Drosophila melanogaster: one gene and its partners. Changing the gene in region 2 together with the main gene of any one other region gives a genetic interaction. Each region holds a gene or a part of one and is shown on either strand. Other genes may lie near its edges. The genes, in order: m, Ppt1, Syt1 and Cisd2.

What was found.
Region 1: of Ppt1 (region 2) and m, changing one suppresses a phenotype caused by changing the other (phenotypic suppression), as found in Drosophila melanogaster (one study listed by BioGRID).
Region 3: of Ppt1 (region 2) and Syt1, changing one suppresses a phenotype caused by changing the other (phenotypic suppression), as found in Drosophila melanogaster (one study listed by BioGRID).
Region 4: of Ppt1 (region 2) and Cisd2, changing one suppresses a phenotype caused by changing the other (phenotypic suppression), as found in Drosophila melanogaster (one study listed by BioGRID).

The regions. Positions count from the first base shown.
Region 1 is NC_004354.4:11,750,024-11,758,534, forward strand, and holds the start of m (miniature), read left to right. Parts: upstream 1-4,249; 5' UTR 4,250-4,559; intron 4,560-5,625; 5' UTR 5,626-5,722; intron 5,723-8,511.
Region 2 is NC_004354.4:8,686,787-8,694,393, reverse strand, and holds Ppt1 (Palmitoyl-protein thioesterase 1), read left to right. Parts: upstream 1-4,166; 5' UTR 4,167-4,315; intron 4,316-4,347; exon of another isoform or gene 4,348-4,375; 5' UTR 4,376-4,414; coding exon 4,415-4,959; intron 4,960-5,099; coding exon 5,100-5,249; intron 5,250-5,305; coding exon 5,306-5,432; intron 5,433-5,491; coding exon 5,492-5,614; 3' UTR 5,615-5,767; downstream 5,768-7,607. Other genes in the region: CG11294 (uncharacterized protein), read left to right, coding at 931-1,137, 1,648-2,226; Ogg1 (8-oxoguanine DNA glycosylase), read right to left, coding at 2,697-2,783, 2,843-3,329, 3,391-3,708, 3,767-3,906; CAH3 (carbonic anhydrase 3), read right to left, coding at 6,217-6,357, 6,440-6,576, 6,652-7,126. UniProt on the Drosophila melanogaster protein: Cleaves thioester-linked long fatty acyl groups such as palmitate from modified cysteine residues in proteins or peptides.
Region 3 is NT_033779.5:2,794,543-2,802,711, reverse strand, and holds the start of Syt1 (synaptotagmin 1), read left to right. Parts: upstream 1-2,732; 5' UTR 2,733-2,803; intron 2,804-3,875; 5' UTR 3,876-4,226; intron 4,227-4,390; exon of another isoform or gene 4,391-4,880; intron 4,881-7,167; exon of another isoform or gene 7,168-7,223; intron 7,224-8,169. UniProt on the Drosophila melanogaster protein: May have a regulatory role in the membrane interactions during trafficking of synaptic vesicles at the active zone of the synapse. It binds acidic phospholipids with a specificity that requires the presence of both an acidic head group and a diacyl backbone.
Region 4 is NT_033777.3:29,219,807-29,226,741, forward strand, and holds Cisd2 (CDGSH iron sulfur domain 2), read right to left. Parts: upstream 3,623-6,935; 5' UTR 3,534-3,622; coding exon 3,437-3,533; intron 2,964-3,436; coding exon 2,740-2,963; intron 2,676-2,739; coding exon 2,595-2,675; 3' UTR 2,411-2,594; downstream 1-2,410. Other genes in the region: eEF1gamma (eukaryotic translation elongation factor 1 gamma), read left to right, coding at 491-502, 624-773, 837-1,970; Brd8 (bromodomain containing 8), read left to right, coding at 3,764-6,382; CG14507 (uncharacterized protein), read right to left, coding at 6,461-6,935.

The DNA of each region.
Region 1 (8,511 bases), 3.1 Mb from region 2:
ATAAGAGAATATGCAAAGGAAGTTGGCCCTGGAATTCAGCGAATGATAATGCATGTGAGATTCAGCCTCTAAAGCCAGATAAAGCGGCGAACTGCATCTATAAAACAGTAGTCGACTCTAAAAGTTACTGGGTAGAGTTAGAAAAGAAAAGTAGTTGGTTGTTTAAGGTTCCTGCGAATTCAAAAGTCCGTCTGCAATGTACTGGCTCTCAAATTGAATTGTTTGATTTGCCTCAGCAAGGAGTTTTAAGCATTGCGCCATATTGTACGGCAAGAACCGACGATAAAATTCTAGTTGCCCACCATAACATTCAGTCCGAAAGTGAAGAATTATTATCAACACCTTATATAGGAGAAGTTAGTGAAGCGCCGAAGATTATTTGGGATCCGCTGAAACTATCAATATTAAATCATACTGAGGAATTTGAACGATTGAATAATGAAATTAAATTTATGAAAGAGAACCATCAAAAATTGAAAGATTTACATTTCCATCATATTTCCGGACATGCTGGATTAATTATTGCTTTAATACTAATGATAGTATTAATAATATATTTCATACGGAAATGTGCTGTGCAACAAAGAATGCAAGCAATAACCTTTGCAGGTCCGTTGCCAGTACTATAAATATCAATAGTAAATAAACAATAAAATAATATAACAAATAAAAATATACAGTCCACTATATCGTTGTTGTTGCATGAGGTCACCATAGGGGAAACAACGATTTCATTCGATTCATTCTAACAAATTAAACCATGTAAACAGCAGAGGCTATCTTTAACTACAGAATTAATCAGATATCCTTCTCATCGGGGTCACCTGTTTGCAGGAACTGGTGTAGTTCTTCGGGATCACTTGCAATAAGAATATCTTTAATTATTATCTTTAATTTCAATGATTTGGGACGGGGTCACCAAATGAGGCAAATGAATACTCGTTGACAGGCATCCATCTTGCTGAGGCCCATCGACCGGCCCACTAACCCATAATGCTGGCAAATTAGCATCGACATTAACTCGGTGGTGGTATCAGTCACCTTCTCCAGTCACAAATGCCGCGGTAATAGCAACAACACTTGCGATGATGGTTCCTAATGGCGATGACAATGAAAGAGTCTGTCCGCGAAGACAGCTTTATTTACTTCTGGGTCACGATGCTTGGTTTCTTTGTTGCTGGTGTCAAATGACTTGAGACATCCATTGGAGTTACAGGTGCTGGGCACAAGTCCGTCCGGACCAGGTGAGCTCATGGAGGTTATAAACATCGCACACGCCCCAAATGGAGCAGCATTTGCCGGCGAGTGACAAAAATAGTTAAATAGCCGACTTAGCCAAATTGGCACTTGGCGACCAAGGAGGCAGCGTACAAAAAGAGGAAATGCACTAAAGGAAATGTTAATAGCAAATTTAAGTTATAGATTAAATCAATACAATGAAATGGCTTTCATGGGTCCAAATTAGTGTACGAAAAGTTCTTTTTACCCGTTTAGAAGAATATAATTTCTTTTCAAATGTGAGTTACATTTTAGTGTAGAATGCCAATAGATTTCTGTGAGTGTAGACAGCAGCAATAGGAACAGCAGTCGGAGCAGAGATGGATTTAGAGGCAGTTTTAGAAGTGCGTTGAGGAATTACAATGATGACAGAACGGAGGGGAGCAGGAATACGGTGAAGGAGGGGACAGTATGAGTTGGTCCACCTCCCGACCAGGTATGTCTTATGGCCAAGGAGGTGGTGAGGCAGCGGGCGGACAAAGTGTGCCGATGGATGTCTTTGAAACGGGCGATGGCGATAGCTAACACGCCAAGTGGGAAGAAAGAACGAGCAACTGAGACGGCGACAGACGCCAAATTCAAAAGTGGACTGCACATGCGTGGAATGGGAATGAGAACGAGAAAGCGATTGCGAACGGAGCATCAGAGAATCAGAGAATCGGAGAATCGCACTTGAAGAGTTGGGACAGAAACAACTTTGTTGCCCTGACTCCCATGTTGAGCTAATGAAGCGGGCCAAGAGGTGGTTTGGTGGAACGATCAGGAGGACGCCCGCCAAGTCAAACGTTATTTAATCACAATCGCAATGGCCTCAGTGGAAGCAACAACAACAACATCAGCTCCAGTCTGGCCTGGGAGAAGTAGCTACGACAGGTGCTGCTGCAGCAGCGGTACTGAATCCAAAGGAATGCATCAAGGCACAAAAAAAAGCAGTCCAAAAGATTGAGGCTACCTTTTCGAACTGGATTATACTTAGCATTACCACTTCAAATTAATGTATGTAATACTTTTTACAATTGATTAATTAAAACAGTTTAGAATATGTTGTTTTAAACGAATTTGGTTTATTAATGAAGAATTCAAGTGGAAGTATTGTAAAATATCTTTTTATAAATTAATTTCAAGGAAAACTCGCAAAAGTACGAATATAAAATGGTAAGAAAGTCGGATAAACTAGTTCGCTTAAGGAAACTTAAATTTAAGGAGGTTTGTTAGCTCACATTCTTCTGAAGCCCAGGGATTCTTCCACTTTCTTCCGCTAAAGACATCATGCTCCCAGGTGTTCAAAAGAAGAGGGTACTAAATAAAAAACCCGATGTGGCAGCCGAGACTCTGGAAGAGGCAGTCGCAGTGGCGTGTGGAGTATGTAGGCCCGACGGCCAATCAATTCTCAGAAATGAAAACGCCGTCTTCGGTGGGTATTACCGTTGCTGTTGTTCTGCTTCTGCCGCTGGCTCTTCTGATTCTTCTGGCTCTTCACATTTCTCCGCCTTGTTGTTGGCACAATTGTGCGATGCAACACACAGCAACAGCCACATAAACAGAAAAGAATGCGAAGAAATGCAAAATGCAAACACCACGAACCACAACACAACCACTTTCCAAATGCATTCATGATGTTTACCGTTTAAATGCGCCCAGTCTACAAAGAGAGATAGACCCAGCACGTGGGAAAGAGACGGAGAGAGACAGGGAGAACGAGAGAGCGAGTGTGGAGCGAGGAGCAGCCTCTCAAACACTAACAACAAATATGGAGAAAAGCAGCTGCCAAGTAGAAGACCAAGAGGAAGAAGAAGAACGAGGAAAAGAAGAGCCAGCATGGAAACCGTTGCAGATTCTTGGCGTGCAAATGTATGTGTAAGCTTGCCAATTCCGATGTGTGCTAAAGAGAGATAGAGCTTAAGATCGCAAGAGGAAACGGATTTTGTTTTTTTTTTGTTTATTGCTCAAATCAGCTCTGATCAACTTCTGTTCCCATCTTGATTAGTTGTCAACGACGGGCGAAAACTGTTTAACCGTTATGAGCCGGCAGATCGGTTCCCAGACCCAAAACGCTAACTTATGCACCTTGCCCACCTGAAAAGCTGGCTACAATATTTCGCCCTGCATGCGTGCAGTATTTTTCGGATAAGGTATGAAGTTGTTATTAATCGTTATACTTTTCATGAATGGTATCAAGGTGTTTACATTTTAATTATTACTTTTGAAGAGTTTTTTACGTTTCATAATTAAATTATTTTAAATAAATATAAGCTTCAAATTCATCGAGATTTTCTTATAATCCTATTACGTGTTTCATAATGCAATCATTTAATGTATGGGGAACACTTAGGGGTATCCATTAAGTCGAAAGCTTCTCTACGAAACGAGCGCGCCGAAAGTTCAAGTTCAAGTGCGCCAAATTCCCGACGTCAACGTCGGCTGCGCTGCCAGCTTTCCACTGCGTTGCCATTTTCCTGCAGGAGGAGTTTTCAAAATCTCGCGATCTTCTGCTGATTGAGTGGGCGTTCGAATGTATTTTTATTGAAGTGCTAGATGTAAGTTTCTTTTTATTGGTCGTCTAATTGGCAGGCTATTCTATGTCATTAGGCCGCTTGATTAGCGCCACCAACAACAACAACAACAATCGCAACAATAACAACAACAAGTTCTGGCTGAGCTGTGCTCATTTGCGCAGCTGCCAACGCAGGTGTAAAAAGCTCGTTGCGCAGTCGCAGTCGGCGCAGGCAGAGCTACTCTCTCAGTGTGCTTGTGTGTGTGTGTGTGTGTGTGTGCGTGTCTAGCTTTGCCAGCTTCTTGCGCTGCCTCTCTCCCCCTTTCTCTTTTGCTCACTCTTCTGTGCTTGTGCTGCTGCTTCTTCTTCTTCTTGTGCTGCTGCTGCTGTTGCCTCTTTCTTCGGCTGCTGCTGCGGCTGCTGTTCCCGACAGTTACATTACGAGGCCAAAGAAAGTATCGCCTGGCTGGCTCGCGTATTTCGCGTTCGTCGCTCGCCGAGTCCACACGTGCTGCTGCTGCTAACGGTCGTGATCGGTGATCGTGATCCGTGATCCGATGCCCAGTGTGCTGCCCAGTCGCGCCTACAACAAATGTTGATAAAATAAATAAATTTCAAATAAAATAGAAAATCAAATAAGTAACACCACCCGAAGTGCTTACAAGTGTTAGTGCAATTTTTTTTTATTGTTCTTGTTGTTGCCACTGCCTGTTACCGTTACTTGCTTAAGCTTAGCAAGATACCGAGAAAGAACGAGAAGAGAGTTGAGAAGAAACGTTCCCGCGAAGTGAGTGTTTCTTCCATCCAAAAGCAAATAATTTTTTTGTTTTTGTCATATTGCCAATTTGAATTTAGAGTTGTGTGAAATATCCACGATTTGCAACCAGAAACTTATTCTATTCTTTGGAGAAGCCAGTCCACGGCTTTCCAACATCTTAAGTCTATTTCTTTTGCTTCCTGTGAAGACTTTATCCAGGATCTGTCATTCCTGCATCTTATTCGTATTCCTCTCTCCGCAGAGCCAATTGCATTGCTTGAGTTCTGTGAAACATCCAATCTTAGTCTTTCCAGCATCTTCTGCCTCGTCTTCTTGGACCGACAGTGGAGCCGATTAACCAGCTAGACAGCAAATGCAGCCGAGCATTTCATGCTTTCTAATTTTCCCAATTAGCACAAATGCGGCTGGCTTGTTGCCTCCGCTTCTTGTGCGCCCCTGCGTCCACGTCTTTTGCCACTGATTCTTCTGCTGCACCTCTTGCCAGCAGAGTGGTGTCTTCTCAGCCTGGCCAGAATCGAAATCAAAATCAAAGGTATTGCATGCACTGCGCCTTGGCGGCTGGCACTTTCCAAAGTTTTTCCCGTGTGGAAAATATAACAATCATACATAATAATAGTTAGTCATAACAATCACACGTACCAAGAAGACGAGACGCGAGACGCTAGAGTTCCATAAAAAAGAGCAACGTCATCTGGCGGATCGTATTCCCACACGCCCAGCAGGTGCACTATTTATTGACCGAACTCCAAAGCCCCCAATTCTCTAACCCCCCCCCCCCCCACACACCCTGTCCCCGGCCACCCCGCACAACTCGCATACACCTGTCAAATGGCAACTAATCATCAATCAGTCGCCATGAGCACGGACTTCACTCGGACTGAAAAGTCTCTGATGACGATGATGATTCTTCTTTATTTGCGTTACGTGTTAGGCGGTCCGGTTCGGTTTGGTCCGTTCTGTTCCGATTTCACTTCTGTCCTCCTCAGCTTTGTACATTTTTATGCTACACCATTTAGCTATTTTTTTTGTTGTTGTTTGTGCCTCACTCACATTTTAATGCATTTGCCAAACGCAGAGCCGGGATTTCACAAAAGAACGGAAATATAAGGAGTCCAGAGCAGCTGTAACACACTCAGCTGTGTCTTGACCTTCGGAAAGATTACAACTTATCGGTGAGTTACACACATTATCTATATTTTATTGAAACTACTAAACTTAGTGGGTAAGATATAGAATAGAATATAGTTGAGTAAGCTTGCTCTGTAAGGATTCTTAAAAGAAATTGTGGTCACGTTGTATCTTATAAGGCAGTCAACTATTGGTGGTCTTTATCTGGCCATAAAGCTTTTAATATCAGATTCCCCAGCAAACTTAAATCAAAGGATGTAAAGTATGTGCTTATTAATTAAACAAGCCAGACGACGATGTTCGATACAAGCCAGACAGATAATGCGAGGATAAGAGTGCCAAAAGCACGTTTATTAGCATACTGTTTTGACATCTTTTACTGGCCACATTGCCACCATTAAACCGTGTGGCAATGCGACAGGCAGCAAATGAAATGTTATGACAACTTTCGTCACTTGGCACTTGGTTCATTAGTCTGCGAAGAGCAGATAAATAGAACAGATCTTTGCACAGATACGGGGCCAAGTAGATGGAGAAGTGAGTGGTAGCGGTGCAAATGCATTTGATCCGTTTTGGAGCGCATTAAATGCACCGTTAACTACTTCGAATTCTAATTAAGCTGATGCGACAATCCAAAGCACGCCGCTGTGGCACAATAAACTCAATTCCAGGAGGCCAGATTGGCAGCAGCAAACAAACACGCGACTTGGCCATAAATGCAAGTTGCCAGGTTGCAACCAGCAAGTTGCAAGTCTCGTTGTCGCAATTCGCATTCGCATTCGGAATCGCTATTGGGAATCAGTATATCGGACAACGGCAGCTATCTCCACGCTGGACTATCTCTTTGTTTGGCCTCAAATGATTGGCTTTAACCATTATTGGTGGGACCCTAAGCGGCTTTACCTTACCGCCTAACACTTTTCGATTCAAGGTCTGATTCTGTTCCTTGGTTTCTTCATTCATTGTTCCCGTGCCCCTCGACTCCACTCATCGATGACGCATAATTTATGAGCTGCTGCCGCGATCGACCCAGTAAATTCTATTCCCAGTGCTCTTTCACATCCATATACCATATCCACATTTGCAGATACATCGTAGAAGCAGCAGATACATGAATACAGTAGATACAGATACAGAGATACGAAGACGTGTACAATATGCAGATGCGGATACAAGATAAAACCTCGTCGACAAGTCTTTTCTTTCACAGAATGTTAATTTGTATTCAGCCAACATCAAAGATACTTCGGACACTGGAAAATATAGTGTGTGTGTGTGTGTGGTGGGGAGGGGGGTCTATTGAGCTTGAGATGCCGGCGTCTCGTCGTCTAACTGTTCTTTGCCTTTCTACAAACATTCCATAATGAAATGGAAACTTTTCGTGGCACATTTCGGCCTTTAGTGCATCTTTGGCCCAACGAAACGGTTAGAAAAGTGAGAGTGCTGATCGACCCAATGGGGCTCATCAAGCTAAGATATCTCAAACACTTAGGAATGTTGTTGAGTTGAGCTTACAAAAAGAACAATGCGGTCAAAAGTAAATATTCAACTAATACAATCCGTAGAGTTTTCTTACAAGTTTTCCCTCAACTTGGTCAAAACAGGGCGTATAGTCGTACAATGGCATGGAAATTTTTAAAAATTCGTAAAAAAATAGAATTCCGAATAACAGTTCGAATGAAAACAGGTTTTGGCCAAAGTGCACTACTTACGATAGGAATTTGCATCGTAACTTGCCTAAAAATGGTCATAAAGATAAACCAATGACTGTTTTTTACAGCTTATTACCAATACTAAGTATCCCTAACACTTTTTGAAGGATTTTGAAAAATTAAATTTTGGGTCGATTTTCGCATTTTCGGTAAGGGGTAACATCATTAAAATTTGCAAAAAATGGGTAAAAAATAGAATTCCAATTTTTGAATACAGTTTGAATGAAAATTTAATTACGAGCTCAACGATATATGACATTCCATATTCAGACTATTATTTTCAAAGTTATGGCCAAAAAACCTATTGATGTATTATGGAAATTCGGAAAATCGGTTTTTGGAAAAATCCGCTATTTACGACGGGTCCTTTCTTCATAACTTGGCCAAAAATGCTTATAAAGATGAACCAATAGCTGTTTTTTACAGCCTATTACCAATACAAACTGACAAAATCAATTTTTGAAGGATTTTGAAAAATCAATTTTTGGGTCCAATTTTGCATTTTCGGTAAGGGGTAACATCATCAAAATTTGCAAAAAATGGCAAAAAATTAAGGAATTATTAAAGAGCCCAACGAGGTATGACAACCCACATTTGGACCATTATTTGCAATATTCTGGGCTAATAACGGATTATATTCATGCGGAAAATCGAACAAATTAGCTAAATTTGCTATTAAGTTGTGGATATGATGCAGAATCGGTCCTCAAAAGTCAAAGCCACTCTGAGTGAGCCTTAAAGCAAATGTCATAAGTATGTACATATACTACATATTTGCATACATATTTAAAGGCCTCGAGTCCTCTTCAAAAGCAGAGTGCCAAGTGACCCAAGGGCACAGCGCATCGAGCAACTCTTGAACACTCTCTGGCATAAACATGCCCAATAAAGATGTTAGCTTTTCGTCTGTGCATCCGATGATAAGCAGCTGGATGTCTTGCTGGCTGGCTGACTGTCTGGGCTTGGCTCTGCCGTCGAGACGGTCTGCCCCATTGCTACCAGCTCCAAGCTTCGAGCTCCAAGCTCCAATCTCCACAATCCCCCCATTCTCGATTCCGGCCAGCATTGTTTGCACTTGACTCTGATGGCTGCTGGGGATGTGGGATTCCGAGTGGGAGTGG
Region 2 (7,607 bases):
GTCAAAACGAGAAGACAATAACAACAACATCCTGAGAGAAAGGAGAGCCGCGGGAGAAAGCTTTAGCTGCAACAAATGAGAGAGCGAGATTAACAATCGGAGGCTGCGCAGCGTGGCCAAGGAAAGAGGGAGATGGCAACAGCCAGAGATAGAGAGAGAGGGAAAAACAACAGAGCAGGACAAAAATAATTTTAAAAATGCAATTAAAACATAAAAAATAATATATAAAAAACAATTACAAATAAGCCCTTTCAATAATTGAATAGCATTTTTTTTAATAAATCTAAATTTTAAACACTTGCTAAGGCAACAAGTAAGCTTTACAAAAATGCAATTAGCTGCATTGTAAGTGTGTGTGTGAGTTTCTTAATTATAAAGCGAGTCGCAGGCGCACCCTCACACACATACTACGAGACAAACACGTACATACATATTAGCCCGAGTCCTTTGGCAACTGCATAAAAGCCGCAGGATGCTGCCTGCATTTCCACAGTCGCTGGCCAAACGCTCAGCGAAAAGCAACGAAATCAACCTTTGCTAGAATTGCCAACTATTTTTTTTTTTTTTTTTTTTTGAAAGTGGCGCCAACTGTTGGCGATTTAGAAATCAAATGTTAAAACACAATTTTTGTTTCGTGTGCCATAAGTGAAAAATTATGAAAAACCACAATCAATATCAATCTATAACCTAAACAAAAAAGGAAACGTGATGAAATAATATACAAATCTAGCAACACAGTATTCAAAACTAAAAAAAAAGTGTTCAGTAACATAGTAACCTAATGTCATTATAGTCGTGACACTACGACAGTTTTATTTTTGTGTGTCATATTAAGCATACGAAAAACTAGAAAATTCACAAAACAAGTCCACTCGTGCAGCTAAAGTGTACAATTAATAAGCATTCGAGTAACCGAAACATTGAACACTAATGGCAGGTCCTTTTATATCACCGCTGCCCGGCGATCTGCTCACGGAGTATATGTTTGGCCGTAGGCGACAGCGCCGGAACCGGACGACCTTCACGCCACAGCAGCTGCAGGAGCTGGAGGCACTCTTCCAGAAGACCCACTATCCCGACGTCTTCCTGCGCGAGGAGGTGGCCCTGAGGATCAGCCTCAGCGAGGCACGCGTCCAGGTGAATTCCCCCTACAGACCAGGCAAAGTATCCACCCAGTTGATCCGCAAACCTGCGAGATCCGATTTAAAATCCTATATAGAATTTGGGTGATTCGTAATGGGTGATTAGGAATTAACTCTTTTGGGGTGTTATTTATAGTTAAGGTACTTCTTCTTACCTTTAATGGCTTAGAAATAATTAGTACACGTTTCTTTATTTCATTTAATTCAATTTCCCATTTCTTGTATAAAAAATATAATTTAATGAATTAAAACAAAACACACTGAGTTGTAAGAGCGCAATGTGCAATATGTACAACAAATATAAGGAAATTGAAGTGATTTTGATTAACTTGGTCAAAAATATAAAAATAAAATTTTAGCTTTACTTGGCCTTTTGGATTATTATCTCATAAAATCTTGCAAATATTTCAAAAATATTAAAAGAATATGAATCTAGATCTTCGTTTTTAGATCCAACAACAAAAGGCCAAATCTATATAGAGTAAATTACCTTTTTTAATTGCAGGTGTGGTTCCAGAATCGCCGGGCCAAGTGGCGCAAGCAGGCACGACTGCAGCTCCTCCAGGACGCCTGGCGGATGCGCTGCCTCAGCCTGGGCACGCCCCCCGTCATGGGCGGTGGAGCGGTGCAGGGCGGATCCGGCAACGGAGCTACGGCTCGACCGCCCAGCCAGACGCCGGAGAACCTCTCTTCCGCGAGCAAGGATTCGGAACTGGCGGAGGTGGGCAATGGACCCAATTCGGGGAGCTTCACCATGATGCACCCGGCATTCCAGCAGCAGCATCAGCAACAACAGCACCAGGGACACCAGCAGGCCACGGATCAGGATAAGCTATCGAAGACCTATACAGAACTAAAGCTCTATAAGGCGCCGTCGCACGGCATGGAACTGGGCGGAATGGCCGCCCTATCCGGACACTCCGACGAGGGTTCCGATGGATCCGATTCCGAGGAGATTGATCTCACCTCCGGCGCCTGTATCGATTTCTCCCAGAGCAGCAAGCTCCAGCAGCAGCAGCAGCAGCAACAACAACAGGGAACTCAGGGGGCGGCGGGATCAGCGGAGGCGAATGGAGGCCTGTAGACGAGGACTTTTATCAAGATACGGACAGATATAAAGATGCGGACACGGATACGAATGCGGATACAGATACTGAAACTTTCACTTGTACAGTGCTCACTCCAATAAAAGATTCGAATAACCACTTCATAAGCATATCCTAAACATCTGTATGCGTATCTAAAAGTGGTTTCCTTAGGTGATGAATTTCTAAAACGGACACAACACATTTTGAATATCCTAAATTTCAAATTCGAGCGCAATCTGTACACATAAATATGGCGATGTATATACAAAACGGACATTTAATGTACACTTTATTTAATCAATTACATCTGTTTAGCAATAAAAAAAAGATATATGAAACCCAGTATCAAGTTCTTTCTCTGTTTAGATATATATTTATATATACATTAGTATATACATTTCTATTATATTTTAATATTCAAATATTACAAGTAGGAATATTTTTTTTTTTAATCCAATAGATAAGATCACTTTTTAGGTTTTTTATTGGATTTTTTCTTACAAGCAACTGTGGAAGTATTTTGAAATTGACTCAAATCGGCAGAAAAGAGAATCTGAAATAATGATATTATAAGAAACACACAGACTAAATTGCAACTTTCAGTGTACTTACAGCTTGAGCCCAACCGGCATACTTTCCGTGTAGCTTTTGAAAATGTTTCGAGACCTCTTCGTAAATCTTCTTGGTTACGTTCTTTTGGCCGGTTAGATGTGGCAGGTAGTAATTTTGGGCAATTCTGTAAATATGAATGTCGACGGGCACTGACTCCAAGTGACCCATTGACATAAGGCAGATGCAATCGGCCACTTTGTATCCGATTCCGGGTAGCAGTGTCAGCTCCTCGCGAGCTTTTTCGAACGGCATGCTCTTTAGGCTTATGAACCAGTTTTGTCCCCCCTTTTTCTGGATCTCTTGCAGCGTTTGTGCTATGAACTTGGCCCGATAACCGAACTTGGCAGCCCTTAGCTGGGCATTAAGATCCTCGCATGGGATGTCGTGGAATCTATTTATCGTGGGAAATGTATACGCATCGGCACCATTGAAGTGACCAATCTTGGTGCCAAATGTAGCGCAAAACCATTCAATCATAGATGATATGCTAAGAAGAAACCAATTTACTGTATTTAATGATGGGATTCGCATTTGATTGAACCACCTACCGCTTGATGTTATTGTTCTGACTGCAAAGGAAGCTAAAAATGTTTTCGAACGGCTCCTGAGAAAGGAGGCGCACAGGCTTACTCAAGAACTTCACAAAGTTATCATCTTTGCTTAACCAATCTTTTTGGTTGACCTTTAGGTCGAAATCAACACGTAGGTAGTCAGATATCAAGGAAGAATAGTCCTTCGTGGCCAAAGGACTGCTGGTTCCGTATGCCTCGTAAGTTATGAAGGATTCTTCTTGCTGGAGCACCCAGTAGGTGTTGAACACCACTCCGCCATATTTCGTTCTATTACCATCGCATATGGATCGCCATCTGGCATGTAAAGTTGTTTTGAGTACATATGTTCATTATTAGTATGGATAGCGCTTACCGGAAACTCTGTCCTCCAAGCAAAGTTCTTTCCAAATCGCATTCTTCGAGGGATAAGCCTATGACACCCCGATCCTGTAAAACAGCCTTCATGTTTGAAAAAAGGCGCTTTTTATGGAAACCTAGGTTATGAGCCAGCATCCGGTTTTATAAACAACTTAAGCCGTGTTTTGGCATACTTAACAATAGTACTTTGTCACGTTTAAATAGTAAACCACATTAAAACTCGAGTTTAAATCGAAAGAAACAAACTCGCTGAATAAAATGTGTTATTGCTATCAGCTGTTTAGCATTTGTTTACCGTTCGGGGTATTCACAACATTCTACTTTTGCTTAGACGCCAGTGTTGGAAAATGTAAATTTTCTGTTCACAGCTGCACAATAAAGTACCAATAAATGCAGCAATGTAGACGAGGGCTTCGAAAAATGCACCTAATTGAACAGTTATATAGTCAAGCCTGTTGCCTTGAAAGGAAAAATAGTTGCAGTATTTTTCATGTTGCGTTAAAGCACGCAGTACGAAATTACCTTTAGGTATAAATAAGACCAGGTACATCCCGTACATGAAATATCCCGATTATATTATCGAACCATATATTATCGATAGCAGACGACTAATTTGATTTGCAAAAATTGCACTCCAACAACAATGATTTCTATCTGCTGTTCTCGTTTTTCATGCATTTTATTTTTGCTGTTCCTGATCTTTTCCCTCGTGCTGAGCTACATATGGTGGAGCCCGACGAAAGGAGGAACCAATCCGGAGGTCCTGCCGGTCGTTCTGTGGCACGGAATGGGCGACACCTGCTGCGTACCCTTCAGCCTGGGTGCCATTATGAACCTGATCGTGGAGCAAACAAAGGGCGGCTATGTGCGATCCCTGCAGATCGGCGGCAATGTTTTGATAGACTGGCAGAGCGGCTTCTTCATACATCCCAACGAACAGGTGGATTACGTTTGCAAGCAACTACTGCAGGATGAGCACCTGGCCAAGGGATACCACGCCATCGGATTCTCGCAAGGCGGCCAGTTTCTGCGTGCGGTTGCCGAACGTTGCCCGAATCCGCCAATGAGGAACCTTATCACACTCGGTGGGCAGCACCAGGGCATCTTCGGACTGCCCATGTGCCCCACCTTAACCGAAAAGCCCTGTGATTATATCACGAGGCTACTGGACAACGCCGCCTACGCACCGTGAGTCTATCTGTTGTTAAGGAATCCTAATATAATATAATTCCTGGAATTTACATGCTTATTAATCCAACACCACCATGTCGCCATCCTTGTCGTTTCCGTGTTAATTCTCTCTTCTCTCTTGCATACCATACACCCAGTGAAGTGCAGAAGGCATTGGTTCAGGCCACCTACTGGCACGACCCGATCATGGAGAACAAATACCGCCTGGGCAGCACATTTCTCGCGGACATTAACAACGAGCTCTTCATCAACAAGTTCTACATTGAGAATCTGCAAAAGCTTAAGAAGTAAGCGCGTATTATACTTATACATTTATCAAATATTATTAACCTCTGCTTTGCAGATTTGTGATGGTGCAGTTCCTAAACGACACAATTGTCCAGCCGAAGGAGTCCCAGTGGTTTCAATACTACACCACTGGGCAGAACAAAGTCATCCAGCCCTTTACTGAGAGCAAAGTCTATCAGGATGTACGTATGCATATCTATCACCTAACGTTCTAATATGAAATGTACATTTTTTCCTAAAGCTGGGACTGGACAAGATGCATCGACAAGGACAACTTGTCTTTCTCGGCGTCGAAGGTGATCACTTGGCCATATCCAAGGCCTGGTTTATCCAGAACATAGTGCCTCTCTTACTCGAAAAATAAGATGGTGCCCAAAAAGCACGTATTGTGACAAAAATGTTTGCATAGGTTTAATCCATTCTTCCTATTAACATAAGCATTTTAATATTAATAATGACTTTTTGATACTTTTATACATGTTTAATTAGATGTTTAATAAATTCAGTTTGGACATACAAAATGTGTTGATTTACTGTTCTTATTTTCCTCTTTTTCTCGCTTTCACTGTTTATCTTAATAACTTAAACGTTAGGATTACGTCTCTTGTAGATGTCTTAAGTAGTTGTGCCCGATATTTCTCTGAAATATTCAATGCAAGGCAACCGCGTGCTCCGACTAAAATTCCATACACGTATCCGTATCGTAAATACTCCGTATATATATATATATATATATATATATATATATGTATGTATGTATATGTATGTTTTGTTAGGTATATAACGCTATGTACATGAGGCAAATAACAAAAGCAGCTTACAGACAACCATAGACAGATAAATGTTTACACATAGCTATAGTTTAGATAGGCGATTGGGCGGAGAAAATTGCGCGAAAGGTTGGAAAAAGGAAAGTCAGCGGGAGCGGGAATTGTAGAATTGTATCCAAGTCATATGGCAAGCACATTATAACTTGGACTTTGGATTGGTGTTGCGCGCAAAGAAGATTTCCGGATCCTTGTGCGGACGCTGGATCTCGCGATAATTGTTGACTATCTTTTTGGACTCATCTTTGGGACACGATTGCAAATTGCGAAACACCTGAACCTGCAAATCAAAAGAGGTTTCTCAAATTTAGTGTTCCAAATGAAAGTATTTGGGGGATCATCTTGGTGAGAAAAACACGCACCTGGCCGCGAGACACATAGATGGGGGTGCGGTATATGATCCAGGTGACACTCTCAAAGTACGGCGCCGTTGTCAGCGAACCCTTGTACGTGTAATAATGTTTGCTCAGCTCCTGCAGACCAATCCATGATAGGCAATCTAAAAAAGCAGAGCCAAGAGTAATAGAGTAAGTCACATTTTTAAAACCATACTCGGTGAAAATTGCACACGCACCGGAATCCAGCGATGCACTCGTATGGATCTTTTGAACGATGCGGATGCCCTCGGTGATCTTCTTGAACTCGGGACAGTCCTTCTCGCCGCAGGCCTGAATAAAGAATGCGACGACGGCCAGGCCATCGGGCTTGTTCTTGGCCTCCGTGAAGTCCTTGTACTTCGAATTGTAGTGGACGGCATGGGCCTCCATTGAGTACTTCATGCCCTCCAGTGTATGCTCGCAGCCGGATTCATCGCAGTCCGACCAATGGAAGTGCAGCTGCTCGAACACGTACATGTCCTGCTCCAGGGCACCGCCGATTATGTATGGCTGTTGTTTTCGCTTGCTGAATGTGACCATTGCGGAGGTGCCTGTGTTCTGTACCCGGGCCACGCCCACCGGCTCCCAATGGCCATGGTACTCTAGTGGATCCACATCGTCAATGTGCTCGATGGCACGGTTGCTGATCTCAATTGGGGATTGTACGGGCATTGCGCTTTCCCAGATTCCTCCTCGAATTAAATTATGCTAAAAAACAAAAGCACATCGACATTAGAATTCGCCAAATATTTCATAATTAAGATGATCAAAGCCAGTGAATTCAAAGCTCATTCATAATAACATAAGAAAAGACGAGCCAACGATCAATGTATAACAACAAGTGATCAATGATCTCAGATCTCAGTGCATTCCGCACATATGCACCTTTTTTCCAGTTTTGATCTCCTAATCCTAGCTCCTAGCACCGATTCCTAGCACCCAAACCGCACTGGCTACTCCACTCCTCCACCGACGACGACTCCCTATGTGATATGCGCTGCGTTCAGGTATTTCTTCTTCCGGAGCTTGTACACACGCCCGCGATCGTCGGCGCTGGCGTCCAAATGCTCGGCTGGTGACAGCAGCGCGGCTCGCGGCGGCGGTGGCGATGTCGACGTCGTGGTGGCGACTGCTCCGCTGGGCGCTCGCGTCT
Region 3 (8,169 bases), on a different chromosome or scaffold from region 2:
GATCGGGCGCAGATCGAAACTGAGCCGCGCAAGTGAATATCTTTTGGTGGGACCAAAGTCCACTTACGAGTCATGCGCCAGTCGTGTGTGAACCAAATTCGAATCTTATTTTATCGAATCGTCTCACTCAATTCACTCAATCATCTGGGCTGCACCCAAAGCAATTAGCCAAGGCGTCCGAGTGCCAAGGCGTCCACGCATGCACCTCGTGTCTGCCGGAATTTCGAGTTCCCAACCGCTCGAGATGATGAACGCGCCAACCCGTGACGTTGCTCCTCCGCCAGATGACGATGATGACGATGACGACGACGACGTCAAGTTGCCTTTGTTGTCACCTCTTTTTGCATTTGTTGAAAATAGCACAACGCTCTTTATCGCCGACTAGTGTGGCGAAGCGACCCGATCTAAAATTAGCATCCACGAATATAGCGTTTCATTTCCACTTATTTTCGAATTGATGTGGTCAGTTTTTATGGCCCCCGAGTGACACTCGAGCCAATCCGTACCACATGCCCAAAGTTTGCGGGACAGGTGCTAATGAATGGTATATCTAGATTGTATAAGAATTAGTGCTTACTTGGAAAACGGAAAGATTATTCGGGTGCGCTTTGTTTAGTTTACAATTAGAATGATATGATGACGCTATTGGTACATATTCATAAGTAACTAAGAAGCCTTGACAAATTTTGTGATTTAAACTGATAAAAAAACCAATTACACAGCATTAATGATAATTAATTTGTCAATGGTTTCTGTGGCAGATAAGCTCATTAGGCATTAACCAATCGACCTTTGTCGCACACGTTGGAATCCAAATATATTTGCCAAGAATTCGAACGCAATCTACGTGATTCATGTATTCATACAGCGAAGACAAAGTCTAAACCTGGTGAAATTATCAGCTATTTCATGTAGATTAGAAGAAGTGAGAACTTCAGTTGTGCCTATTGCACATCTGGATTGTGAGTATAAGCACTTGATAAGGTGCAAGTGCCGAATAAACCACATATGCAAAGCAAATAAAACCAATGGCCATTATAGGTGGCACGTGTAGCCTTGCCATAACCTCGACCACCAAAACGATTGATACCACACGGAATCAGAAACATAACATAGGAAAAAACCAAACATTCGCTGATTGCGAGTCTAATCGGGTGATGCAGGCGGAAAGAACACTATTTTTTGGGGGTGGGAAACTTCGCATTACCTCATCAAAGTTGCCCCAAACCAAACCAAAGCAATCATGCCAATTGCCCCAATTCAAATCGATTAGTCTCGATGACACAGCAACCCCAATAATGCAATTGCCCCACGGCCAAATCGGATCGAGCGCGTGCCGCCTCGCTTATCGCCATTTGGGAGCAAGTTCAAGTGACCACCGACCAAGAGCTGCTGCTCCCTGTCCACTTCCCACTGATAACTGATAGTGATAAGTGCGTAAGCGAGTGCGTGTTTACATTCCGCTCTTCGCTTCAATCATCAATCATCCGCGATCGATCTCGATCGATTTGAGCCCGAGGACTGGCCGTTTAATTAACTTCTTCGCTAGCGATTACCGATTGCCGTGCGAGGGTTCCCAAGATAAACGATATGGGAAATCACGAACCCCGAGTATGGCCAACCGCCTGATTGAGGCGTGAAGGTGACCAGCACTATCGAATATCGTGATTTATTTGCGCGTCGTAAAGGATTGTTAATGATTCACCCGATATAAATACATAACTCATAGGAAAGCAAGTCGATAAGTATTTCTGTTCAAAGAAGTATGATTTAAGATCGTATCTGCTTTGATTTTAGGTTACTAATAGTAACTTACTATGTATTTGTATTCCTATAGTATATTTATTCAAAACATTTAAAAATATATCCTCATTGCATGTAAAAACTCAGCTACTCTCTAGGGGGAAATCACGATTATAAACTATTTTTGTGACAAAGTATTAATTAAATTATATTTCATAATTATTGTGCTGACATGTCATTAAGATGGACTTGTCAGCCCAAAAGTAGGCACGACCTTTTAATAATGCATTTCCAAAACCAAATAAATTGCCTGGATGGATCGGATCTATTGAAAAAGATTTAATTTCACAGTCATACTATTTTGGCTTATCGTTAGATAAGTAATTTGTTTTGATTTTTTGTGAAATATACGATACAGTGCCGCCATTTACATGGCAAATCTCAGCTTTCATAGGCGAAGGAAAAATAGTACGGAAAGTGAAACTTGGCACAGAAAAGCTTTGCTCTACAGCAAATGGCAACATTGTGTGCCATTGAGACACTTCCGCCCCAGTACGCATGCACCAAAAAACATACTGCGAACAGGTTCTGAAGGAGCTTTCAACTTTACATGTGATTCCCAGTCAGATGTTTACCTCCTTTGGGAAAATCTAGAGAGAGATATAGTAGGGATTTTTGAAAATATGTATGTAAAGGTACTAGACATGAGATACTGTAGTAGTTATTCAACTCTTACTTATGAAGGATGCATTTTATGGTAGTGCCTATTTTATGATTATCCTCCTTTGCATATCATACAGACGTAGGGGCTCAGCCATGTCCAGCTGGCCTAAAGTCTTCCCCTCCGAGATTTCCGCTGCCCAAAAGCTCCCCCCACGGTGGACACCGCCCCGCTCACCCGCTGGCCGAGCGGCCAAAATCGATGCCCCAACCGGTTCGCTCTCGCGTTTTGGCGAGTGGCCCAAGCTTTTCAGCGCTGCTCCTGGAGCGTGTGGGCCAAAACGCGAATGAACATCGACCGTGGAAGTTGACTGCTGAAGTACAAAGCGCTAGGCTGAAGGTGAATGGGAAAGAAAAATTCTAGAGGCTCATAAAAAGTGGCAATGCCCATGGAAAATCATTCAAAAATGTGATGAAAAAATTATGAAAATTAAACAGAATTGGTTGAAAGCAAAGCAAAAGTGTTGAAAGTGTTTTCCAATTTGTTATATAAATGAAAAGGCCATCGAAAGCCCCGAAATGTATAGTGCGCGTGTGTATGTGTGTGTGGTGTGGGTGCGTGTATGCGACTGTGTGTGTGCGAGTGTTTAGCACGCGCTGACAAAAAAGGAGAACATTTTTTGTGTATCAGAATTTTTCGCAGCAAATGTCGAGAAAAAATGGCAGCTAAGCAAGAAAATTTTAATTGAAAATTCCAATGTGCAATGCGAAGATGAAAGAAGCGCTGAAAAATGGGCTATCATTGAAAGTGAAAACGCATGTGAGCCACTTGCGGGGATATTGATTTTTCCCACCCGACTATTGTGGTGCTGTAGGCCAGTCGAAAGCCAGGATTAAAAAGCATATCAATGTGAATTCGGAAAATCCGAATCCGCAGTCCTTCAACGCCCTATAATTAAATAATAAAAAATTAAAATTGAAATGAGATTTTTAACTATCAACTTGAAGTGTCTGAGTGCGAGAGAAAAAAGGAAAGCTCAATTCAAGCCAAAAGAGGCCCTGAAAAGGACGAAAGAAATGGCCCTAAGAAAATCTCTATCCTGAATTTGCTTTCTTCGAGGAAAAAGCGAATTTGCCAACCTCCCACTCTCTCTCTCTCTCTCTATTTTTGTCTCTCTCTGCCCACTCACCAACACGCACACACATGCTCTTTTGGGCAAGGAGACACAACACACAGACACACACACAAAGCCGAGTTCGCTCTATCAATATTTACGCACACCATTGTATTTTGCTATTACGTATACGCTGCGTATCTCTTCAACTCTCTCACTCACTCTCTCTCTATATCTCTCTCTCTCTCTCTCTTCCTCACTTTCCGCTGACATCCTTTGTACTGCAAAATATATGCAAATAAATCTAAATAAATTGAATTAATTTCAATTAATTTTATTACAAATTATCCAAAAAAGTATACGAAATTCATGTGAGACTAGCGAGCCGCGGCCTCACTAGCCAAAGCCAGTCACAAAAAACCAAAAACATAAATCAGGCAGCAGCAGCAGCACACATACATCGACAAGCGCCAGGACCCGCATCACCATATCCTTCCTGCCAAATAGTCGCCACTGCTGCCGACCCTCCCCGCTCCCCTCGCAGGAGTCACGCTTCGTTAAACGCTGCTCAAAACCCATCATCCTAACTAATAAAGCGGACGATAAACAAGCGAATTAAGTACCAAAAACGACCGAGCTATTAACGCTAGTCTGGATCCCAATTGCTGATTGGAAAGGAGAAACATTGGCAGCATTTCTGATTAGGGGGTGAGTGTTGGTATTTACAAGAACGTAGCACACTTTTTGGGGCAGTCCATAGAGTGAATGGAGAAACATACATAACTAAAGGGTTGCTGCAGCTAAAGAAAAACTAATCTCTAAGCTATCAGAGAAAATGTGATTGCTTATTATTCTAAGATACAAACATTTCCCATGGTTAACATTCATCTTGAATTATATTAATATCTAAATAATCAAGTTAATTAATAGATTCACAAAAATTTGCAGGAATTTCCTTTACCAATTAAACCCAAAAGGTCTGAAATACTTTGGGTTTATTAACTTGATTAATTGCCAGACTGCCAAATTCTCTGCCCAGTGCCACACATCACTTGTTCATCGTGTCCTTTCTTATCTTCGTCTAATAAGAACTAAACCTGATTTAGTCCTGCTCTTCGCTAATTAGCTTTGGACAGCCCGAAGTTGGGCTGGAATTCCTCGGAGGGCAGGCTATTAAGGGCATTGCCGAAGCATAGCAATAAAAATGCTGCAAACAAGCTCGGCAGGCCGCACATAATTGCCAATAATCAAGTTGGCCCGAACGGCAGCGTAATTTTGACCCTTCGCGTCGCCCGAAAATCCTTTTGTGTGAAATTCGAGAATATGAATGAATTGTTTGCACGGAGTCTATATTTGATTTTGAAAACATCGAGACGGATTGTTCAATGAAAGCGAAAAGCATAATGATGTGGAAAATTGGTTTTCTCCGCCAGGCATTCTTCTGGCCTGAGGCAATGTCGGGCTCCAACGTCTAGCTTGGATTTTCCTTCATGTTCATTTCTTTTTTTTTTTATTTCCTTTGCTATTTTCCGAGTTTTTATTTTGTTGCCTTCTCTGGGTTATGTGCGCAGTAAAGAGAGCAGAAACAGAAACAGAAAGAGAGAGAGAGAGAGAGAGCTGTGGGCATGTGTGGCTTTTCCGCTTTTCCATCCTTCCGCTCTCATAGTTTTCCACTCTCCGGCTCGCCAAAAAGTTTAACCGTTTCCCCATTCGTGAGCTTCGAGAGCCTCCTGGCCATTTTCTACGCGATTCGCCCGTATTACGTGCGTGGGTTCCACAGATGTTGCCATAGATCCGAATCCGAACCCGAATCATATTGCGAGCTCCATTTGCTCGCTGGCGGGTTTGTTTGGACCCGGTAATGGGTAATGACTGCCTGTCCAATCCATCCCATGTTAATTTGTTTTGACAGCTTGATGGTAAGACCGGTAGAAAACTCTATTTTTACTCGGGTTCTTCGTTGCTTACTCGCAGTATCCTTTTACCATTTATCTTATCGCCATGCGAACCCCGCGCTAATCTAAAATGCCCAGCCAATTGCCGTTATCTGTGCTCCACTTTTTGTCACTGCATTGCACCACCCACCGGGCCACCAACCCAGCAGCCCACGCACCCTTATCAGCTTTTTCTGCACCACCGCCCACAATTTATGAAAAAGCAGCAGACAGCTGCCTATTTATAGGTCCTTCGCCAAAGGTCAAATCGTAGCAATTATTACTAGGAAAGCACACATTCCTCTTATCGTCCCTAAATTGGAGCTCCGAACTGAGCTTTGATTAATTTAGTAGGGTCTTCGACACGAAAGTTCTGTTCATATTGAGTAAGTTCATCAAAAGTGGTAATTGAATTTTACAACGTTAAGTGGAATGCTGATTTTTGGAACTTATTAGGAGATTTCAGTGTACCTTGCTTTATTTGCTCATTTCAATTATAATACTTTTCCGAGACTGGCTTTCAAAAGCAGTACTTCCTTCATGTTTATGGCACTTTTGACAGTTACTGGAAATGTTTTGCCATCAATCGAGTGCTCAACAATGAACTCACTGACCACTCAAGCGTCTTACTACCAATAACAAATACTGGAAGCAGCTGTTTTGGCCCTAAACATAATTTACACTTTAGCACGAAACGAAGCCGTTTTGAACTGCGTAGTTTGTTATTTAGCTGCCACTTCTTGGTGCCCAGACAAGTGGGCACCGCAAAATAACCAGCACACCCATACGCCCCGTTGACCCGTGGGCAAAAAAAAAAAAAAAAACAGTGCCACGAAATGCTGGCAGAATGACAAAAGTGTGGCAACTGGCGCATACAATATTTGTGACCTTCTTGTGCCTTCCTGGAAATCACAGTAGCTGCACATCTTGTTCCTATTAATGTTAAGTTCTTTTTCTTGCGGGTTTTTCGGCCCCTTATGCCAGGAAACATAATTCAGCATGAGATTTTTTGGTGCATAAATAAAATATGAATAACAAAGTGGTCCACCTTTGGGTGATTGCCATTTTCCGGGCAACTTTCGGTAGCTAGGTGTTTCTGATTGTTGCGTCCACATTTATTATGGATGAGTCTTTCGGAGGGTAGAAAGCCCTTGTTTATCCATTTTATTTATCTGCCACTGGGCTGCAACGCAATTTGTCAGGGAATCACACGGAAATCGTGACATCTCCCAGCTTTCCACTTTTTGCTGCCACATGACTGGTTTTCCCCTTCCTCCATCTCAAGGAGTCATTTCCAGGCAGCTTCTGTGCCGCACAACTTGTCCTAGATGCATTTAAATTTATTTATTTCTCGGTAATTTTCCTTTTTGTCCTCAAGTGGCCAAGAGTCGTGGTCGCTCATTCTAAAAAGTAAAATAAGTTAGTGCATTTAAAAGTAGGACAACATTTAAAATTTATATTGATCATGTTAAAGTTATGATGTTTATCAATTGTGCACTCTTAAATAATTTACAGAGAAATTGTCTGTCTTAAGTTTAATCTTCGCGAAATACGAGATGAGCTGGCAAAAACTCATTTAAGAAAGCGATAAGCGGAGAAAAGAGACAGCTGTTTATTATTCATATGCAAAATTGGTGAAAAGTAAACAATTTCATTAAATTCGTGATAAGAACATGTATGTATATTAGTCCAGCAGCAGTACTTTTATTTAGTCGCTCTAGTTTAACTGTGAGGTATGGACATCAAATAAGTATGTGATTAAGTTATACAGGTAAAAATTATATATAAGAAATATTTCTATAATTAGTTTTCATTACTTAAGCCATGATGCATGCCTTTTTATTTGAAAAATATGTTTAGCTTAATTTTATCGATTTTAAAGATGCCTTTTTCGACCCAAAACTGAATTAAATCGCAAATTGCGTTTGCCTAGAAGGCAATTAACCCGCATAACTTAATTTCGCACATTATTCATGCAAATTGTATTGTATGTTGAGCAAACACAGAGTTTGCATCTAAATTTTCCACCCGCGTGGCATCCACAACTTTTGAATTTTAAGCATATTTATGGGGCCAAATAAACAAAGCTGCCTTCAGGCTTTTCATTTAAGCGGCTTGCCGAGTTTTTTCGAGTTTTCCGAGTTCTTTTCCATTTTCCGTTGGTGTGTGTTAGCGTGTTTCAGGGTATGGATGTCCTTTGACGTCATTTGCAAAGTAAACAAGAGAAAAGCCATAGGAGAAGCATCGCTTTCCAGTCATTTTGGCTTTAAATTGCTCTACACACACAGTTTGCTTTTCTTTCTTTCTGGCTGAGAGGATAAGTGGTTTTGGTGACATATTAAGTTATCTTTGGCTCACGAGATGCTTTATGGAAACAATGAGATGCAAACAAAAGGTGAACAAACAATGGATAGCGGACTTGGAATATCATTTAACATAAAATCAATTTGACAATAGGATTCCTCGTGAATAAATTTCATATTCTGCTGTTCAGATTTAAGTGAACCAATAATATTCCAATGAAATTCGACTTTTAGTATTCTTTCGGCTGACATGTGTCGTTCAACTTTTGATGGATTACCCAAATTGCAGTCTTCAAATGAGAGAAGAAATTGCCAATCAGCGAGACATAAGTACCCGCGTATATTTTCCACTGGGGCAACCCCCAAGCTCCCAAAGTCCCAGGAGTCCGTCTCTGCAACAATGGCAGTTCAGGG
Region 4 (6,935 bases), on a different chromosome or scaffold from region 2:
ATACTAAACAGTATGCTAAATATAAATATAAAACGAGATCACAGATATCTTCATAGGGGAACACTTTAAATTCAAAAAAATACGGGTCGTTTTAGAATAAACGCACCTTATTTGAAATTGGATCTTTCTTACTAACGATCAGTTAGTGGTGGAACGCCTTGCGCTTAACAGCACGCTGTTATTGAAACCCCACTTATTGGACTTTATTTACAAATTGAAATGTGATAAATAAATATACCAAAAACGATAATGATTTATGTTTTTAGGTATAATTTAACATCGAGGTCGAATAGAAATCATCGATGACCAAAATGGCCTAGGAAATATCGATATATCGCCGTAACCATGATGACTCCTGCAGCCCTGTTTCCGTCCCTTCTCTTCTTCGTTTCCGGTGAGTGCGTGTGCTCCGCGTTTTTTCGCTGAATTTGCCACTATATCGTATTTAATACTGTATTTGCAGGCAGACGATTTAAACGGCGAATCCACCATGGTGAAAGGAGTACGTACGCACAAGGGCAGTGAGGATTTTCCAATCCGTGGCTTCGAGCCATGTGAATTTGCGAATTTCCAGATGCCGGTTAGCTGCCACGATATCACAACTAATCCACCCATATTTGCAGACTCTGTACACTTACCCCGAGAACTTCCGGGCCTACAAGGCGCTCATCGCAGCCCAGTACTCCGGAGCCCAGGTGAAAGTGGCCGACAACTTCAAGTTCGGCGAGACCAACAAGTCGGCTGAGTTCCTCAAGAAGTTCCCCGGTGGCAAGGTGAGTCCGCTTTTTTTGTGGGTGTGGCTAGTGCCAGGTCATCAACACGATATGTGCCCGTAGGTGCCCGCCTTTGAGACCGCCGAAGGACAGTACTTGAGCGAGTCCAATGCCATCGCCTACCTGCTGGCCAACGAGCAGCTGCGCGGCGGAAAGTGCCCCTTCGTGCAGGCCCAGGTCCAGCAGTGGATCTCCTTCGCCGACAACGAGATTGTGCCTGCCTCCTGTGCCTGGGTCTTCCCCCTGCTGGGCATTCTGCCGCAGCAGAAGAACAGCACTGCCAAGCAAGAGGCCGAGGCTGTGCTGCAGCAGCTCAACCAGAAGCTGCAGGACGCCACCTTCCTGGCCGGCGAGAGGATCACATTGGCCGACATTGTGGTCTTCAGCAGTCTGCTCCACCTGTACGAGTACGTCCTGGAGCCCAGTGTGCGCAGTGCCTTCGGCAACGTGAACCGCTGGTTCGTCACCATCCTCAACCAGAAGCAGGTCCAGGCCGTCGTCAAGGACTACAAGCTGTGCGAGAAGGCCCTGGTCTTCGACCCCAAGAAGTACGCCGAGTTCCAGGCCAAGACCGGAGCCGCCAAGCCCCAGCAGCAGGCTCAGCAGCAGAAGCAGGAGAAGAAGCCCAAGGAAAAGAAGGAGGCGCCCAAGAAGGCTGCCGAGCCCGCCGAGGAGTTGGACGCCGCCGATGAGGCCCTGGCCGCCGAGCCCAAGTCCAAGGACCCCTTCGATGCGCTGCCCAAGGGCACCTTCAACTTCGATGACTTCAAGCGCGTGTACTCCAACGAGGACGAGGCCAAGTCCATTCCCTACTTCTTCGATAAGTTCGATGCCGAGAACTACTCGATCTGGTTTGGCGAGTACAAATACAACGAGGAGCTGTCCAAGGTGTTCATGTCGTGCAATCTCATCACCGGCATGTTCCAGCGTCTGGACAAGATGCGCAAGGCGGCCTTCGCCTCCGTTTGCCTGTTCGGCGAGGACGGCAACAGCACCATCTCCGGTATCTGGGTGTGGCGCGGACAGGATCTGGCCTTCACGCTCTCCCCCGACTGGCAGATCGACTACGAGGTCTACGACTGGAAGAAGCTCGACGCCAAGAGCGAGGAGACCAAGAAGCTGGTCACCCAGTACTTCTCCTGGTCCGGCACCGACAAGGACGGTCGCAAGTTCAACCAGGGCAAGATCTTCAAGTAATCATCTCTGCCTAGCCCAGCTCCGCTCAAAGCAGCAGCCGCCCTCATTTAGACCAACAACAACAACAGCAGCAGTAACAATAAAGTTTGAGATTTAAAATGCAGGAAGAGCACAATGCCCATTTCTTAAGTTCCAACTGATAAGTACACTAAAGATATCCAATATCTGTCGTGCTGCCTCCCACGTTTGGCGGAATCGTGTGTCTCGCCTCCTGCATTTTGTACTGGAGAATTTGTTTGTAACCGCCTAAGCATAACACAGCATGATATTGTCAACGGAACAGCCGCCTGCAGTCAGAAAATATTTATAAAAAATAAAAGGTTTTCTATTAATAACAGCACGGTTTTCTCTCACACGTGTGTGTATGTGTGTGTGTGGTTTATTTGGTTGTTGGTAAAGGTTAGGTCTGGCATTTATTAGTAATTAGAATTAAGCATATCGATTTGAATTTATGTTTGGGCAATTTTATTGGCTCCTTTTAACTTAATCCATCAATATCATCAATTATTGCTTACAATTACAAGGGTTCAAACAGCTTCGGCCACTACTATTGGTTTTAAAAGCAAACTGGAGCTCAGCGAGAGGAAATGCTAGAACGTTTGTGTATCGATGCACCGCCGCAATCTACTTCTTGATGACAATTGGTCCGACGTTGTCTCCAGTCTGCTTGTTGTGCTCGCCATGACTGCCATCGCAGTAGGGCCACTGCGAATAGAGGATTCAATTGAAAATTTTGTTCACAATATTTCAGAGGTTAGAATGCACTCACGTTCTTGGTCTTCCAGCAGCGACAGAAGGCCGCCTTCTCCGCAATATCCTCCACGTCGATCATGTCCACCACCTTGGGCTCGTTCTTGCGGATGTGGTTGTTGCAGCGTCCGCTGTTTTTGGCCGCGCAGCTGGCCCGTGCCGCCGGACAGTAGGCCAGGTAGGCGGTGTAGCCGAGTCCGGCCACCACCACGGTGGGTGGGATCAGGGCCAACCAATCCTTGACTGCAAACGAAACCAGGTTAATACGGAATGCAGTGCATTTTAAGCTTTATAACTAGATATTTTGGTCGATCAGCCGTAACCGGCACAAGGTCGTTCCCTACACACATATTGGGTTATAAACGCACCAAGATATGCGCATATATGTTTATAGGTATACCCATGTTGGTATGCCTGTATTATGCGTCTATCTAGTTGCCTATCTGCGAGACAAACTTGCTCCAATTATAAATTTCTTGGCGAGCTCAGCAGTTGTTGCATAATCGCTGCAACTTTTTTGCCTGGAAGTGCACACACTGCACTTCCAATTCCCGTTAGCAGCTCCGCAATATCACGCCACATTTGCACCTTAGTAGTCCATTTAGTTGGCCCCCCTAGATGCTGCGTCATTATCGTGGATTTGGGTTTATGTGGGGCGCCCTTTGAAGGCAAATCAAATTCCAATGGGCAAAACCACGCTCATTGCCCAAACTTACAGGAGAGCTTAAACCAGCCGCCGATGCTGTCGGGAACCGGCAGACTTGACAAGTAATTGGGCAGCGAGGACTTCACCAGATGTGATATGGGCTCCATTTCGAAACGCCTTTTTTATTTAACTGGCTATTAAATTCGGAAAACTTGTTTTTGTGTTGCTATCGGTTAGCGGTGCTAGCAAATCGATAAGCCAGTCCTATCGGTATCGCAGTGCTAGGGTCACACTGCATTTTCGACGATAGGCAGTATTACAGATTCGTGTGTAGTCATCGATAGCATTCTGTTTTGTTTACGAATTATTGATTGAAATCAATAAATTGCAGTTTAGAATGTCTGCCGGGGTACAAGAGCGCCTGCAACTGAGCCGCATGCCGCTGGACACGTGGTCGAAGCGGGAGCAGCTCATCCTGGCGTCGGCGGTCTCCTGCAGCGGCGACCAGAACTGGATCACGGTGAGCCGCACGCTGAAGACGATCTGCGGCAATGGCAGCAGTAACCGACCGGCGGACTGGTTCTCGCAGAAGAACTGTGCCATGCAGTACGGCAATCTGCTGGAGAGCGTGGAGGCCACCAAGCGCAAGAAGCGCAGCAGCGAAAGCAGTGCCGGCGTCTCCTCGCCGGCCACCGTGGAGACGCCCACAGAATTGCTGCTCCGTCGGCTCACGGAGGAGCGTCAGGCGGAGATCAAGGCGCAGATGCGTCAGGATCAGGAGACTTACCGACGCATCCAGCGGGAGATTGAGTCGCTGCAATCGGACGCGGTGACCGAGCAGGAGCTGCAGGACATGTGGCTGGAGATCGAGAAGGAGCAGGAGGCGCGCCGCATCGAGGAGATGAAGCTGGAGAATCGCATGCGGGAGCGCGAGCAGCGCAAGAAGGACCTGGCCAGCAACTGGCGAAACAGCAGTCTAGCCGTCAAGCGTTCCAACCAAGCTGCCGACACGACTTCCGTCGATATGGACGTGGAGGACATAAACACCAGTGGCAATGGCAAACAGCAGACGGGTCCTTCGCCTCTACTCACATCTCTCCTGAAATCGCCCACAGGCAATGCACCTGCAACGCCCACCCCAGGAGGAGCTGCACCAGCAGCCGGAGGAACTGGCAGCGTGGCCAGGGCTACGGCGCCAACCATCACCTCGCTGCTGACCAGCGGTCCAAGCTCAGCTGTTGCCAATCAGCCAGTCATCACCATGAAGAGCCCCACAGATGCGGCGTTTATGTCCCGACCTATTACCGGACCTCCGGCCAGTGAGGCTTCTACTACGCCCACACTCGAACGGAGTCCCTCGCAGGCGGCACCCACACTCTCCATGCTGCTAGAGAAGAACATGGCTGCGGCGAAGGCCAACGAAAGCGGAAGCTTGGTAAAGCCAGAGGGGTCAGGAAACCAGGAGCAGGGTGTAGACGAAGCCACTTCTTCTGCAGCTGGCACAGCAGACTCCGACGAGGCGGATCCCAACGAAGCGCAGCTGCTGGAAGTCTTCAAAAACATTGATCAAATAATAGATGACATCGACATTGATATGGCCAGTGTCATTGACGATGAGATTCTGAAAAATGTGGATGACGTCGTAGCCTCGCCATCAAACGATAAAGCCGAAGTTATTGACTTTGAGGACAAGCTGGACGCTTTGAAGCGGGAGCAAAGTAAAAGTTCCCCAGCCAGTGATAAACCAAAATCTGTGGAGCTAGTAATTGGATCCAGCGATGACTCCAACGACAATATACCCCTGGCTGCCGTGGCCTCCCAGGAGAGTAAGGATCGTGGTCAGTCCGGTGGTGAATCTACTAGGGGCACCGAGGACGCAGAGTCCGAGCCGTTGACCAGCGAGGTGGCGGTGGAGGAGATTGGTGAGACCATTACCATTATCAGCACTTCAAGTGAGGATACTGCAGGATCGCCACCCACGAAAATGGAGGAAGATGGGGCCACTGATTCCCTTCCGAAGAAGGAGGATGCCGCGGAAGACAAATCCGAACAGGAAAGTAGCTCCCAAGGACAAAATAAGGCAGGAGGAAGCACGGACGAGCCGGAACTAATAGATCACCAAGCCACTAGGGAAGCACAAAGCAAGTCAGGCAAGGACACAGCGGGAAAGCCAGTAACAATGCAAGAAAAGACGACCACTCAGTCCGCTCCGGTTCCTGTGGATCTGCACGACACAGACGAGGAGTCGTCTTCGTTGACGGACAGCAGCAAGCACGATGACCATCCAAGGAGTGCAAAAGCTAAGCCCCCGGCATTGAAGCTGGCTCTGGATGACTCCAAGTCGGAACTGGAGCTGAGTGGCACACCTCAGCCACCGTCGGCGCCAGCTCGAACGCCTTTGCTACGAAAACTGCCGCATCGGGATCGGTCCGAAAGTCCAATGGTGGACGATGACGCCACAACAGCCAGCGATCATTCCACTGCTAGGTCCACACGTCGCCGCTGCTCCTCCACGCCCGTTATCGACAGCATACCCAATTCTCCCGCCTCCAGCGAGCACACCGACGATCGGAGAGAAACGCGAGCCGCCTCCAAGAAGCTCTTCCTGTCCATTTATGCCATGTTGCTGGACAGCAAGCATGCGGCTCCCTTTAAGCGTCCCTTCCACGACGAGCACGCCCAGCGACATGCGGATCTATGCCTACGCCCCATGGATTTCCCCACCATCAAGCGGAACATCGACTCGGGATTCATTCGCAGCTTGAGCGAGCTGCACAGGGATGTCCTGCTCATGGCCCACAACGTTTTGGTGGCCTACAAACCACACACGGCTCAGCACAAAACGGCGCGTTTGTTCGTGCAGGACTGTCAGGCGATCAAAGAGTTCTCCCAATTGCCGGACGTGCAGGCAGGGATCACGGCCACGCCGGTGAGCAACACGGGAAGCTTGCGAGCGGATAAATCGAGCGGAAGCAAGGCCAGGAGCGGCTCCCGAAAGAGCCAAAGGCATCACTAGGCTCACTTAACTTTTCACACGTATTCATTTATGCATTTCATTTTGGAACTTACATGCTACATGCATTAACAATAAACATCAATCGAAGAATATTAGGTTCTGTAAGCGTCGAGATCTGGACGAGTGGCAAATGGAGCGTCGGTGTGGGCAGTAGTACCTCTTGAGGCACCTGGAAAGCCGCAGGTCGCATTGGCAGAGACGAGCGGCACAGGAGTCGGGGCCACCGAACTCGCCATGATCGACGGCGCACAGCGGCTTGCCGCGGTAGCACTTCCACACGTAGGGCACAAAGTATTCCAGATAGGAGATGCAGTTGCTCTGACCGTAGCACTTGTCGTGCACGCGACAACAGCGATCGATGCCATCGGCGGGCACTCCGTGGCCACCGAATCCGCAGTAGCAGCCGTAGCCCTTGTAGATCAGCGGATCACAGCCCGTGGAGCACTTGATCATGGAGTACAGCCGAGCAACGTCCCTCTTTCCGCGATCTCCCTCCGGCAAAAGCTCTTTTTCCCGGCTGCTGTCGTTGGTGAAGCTCCACTTCATGGAGTAA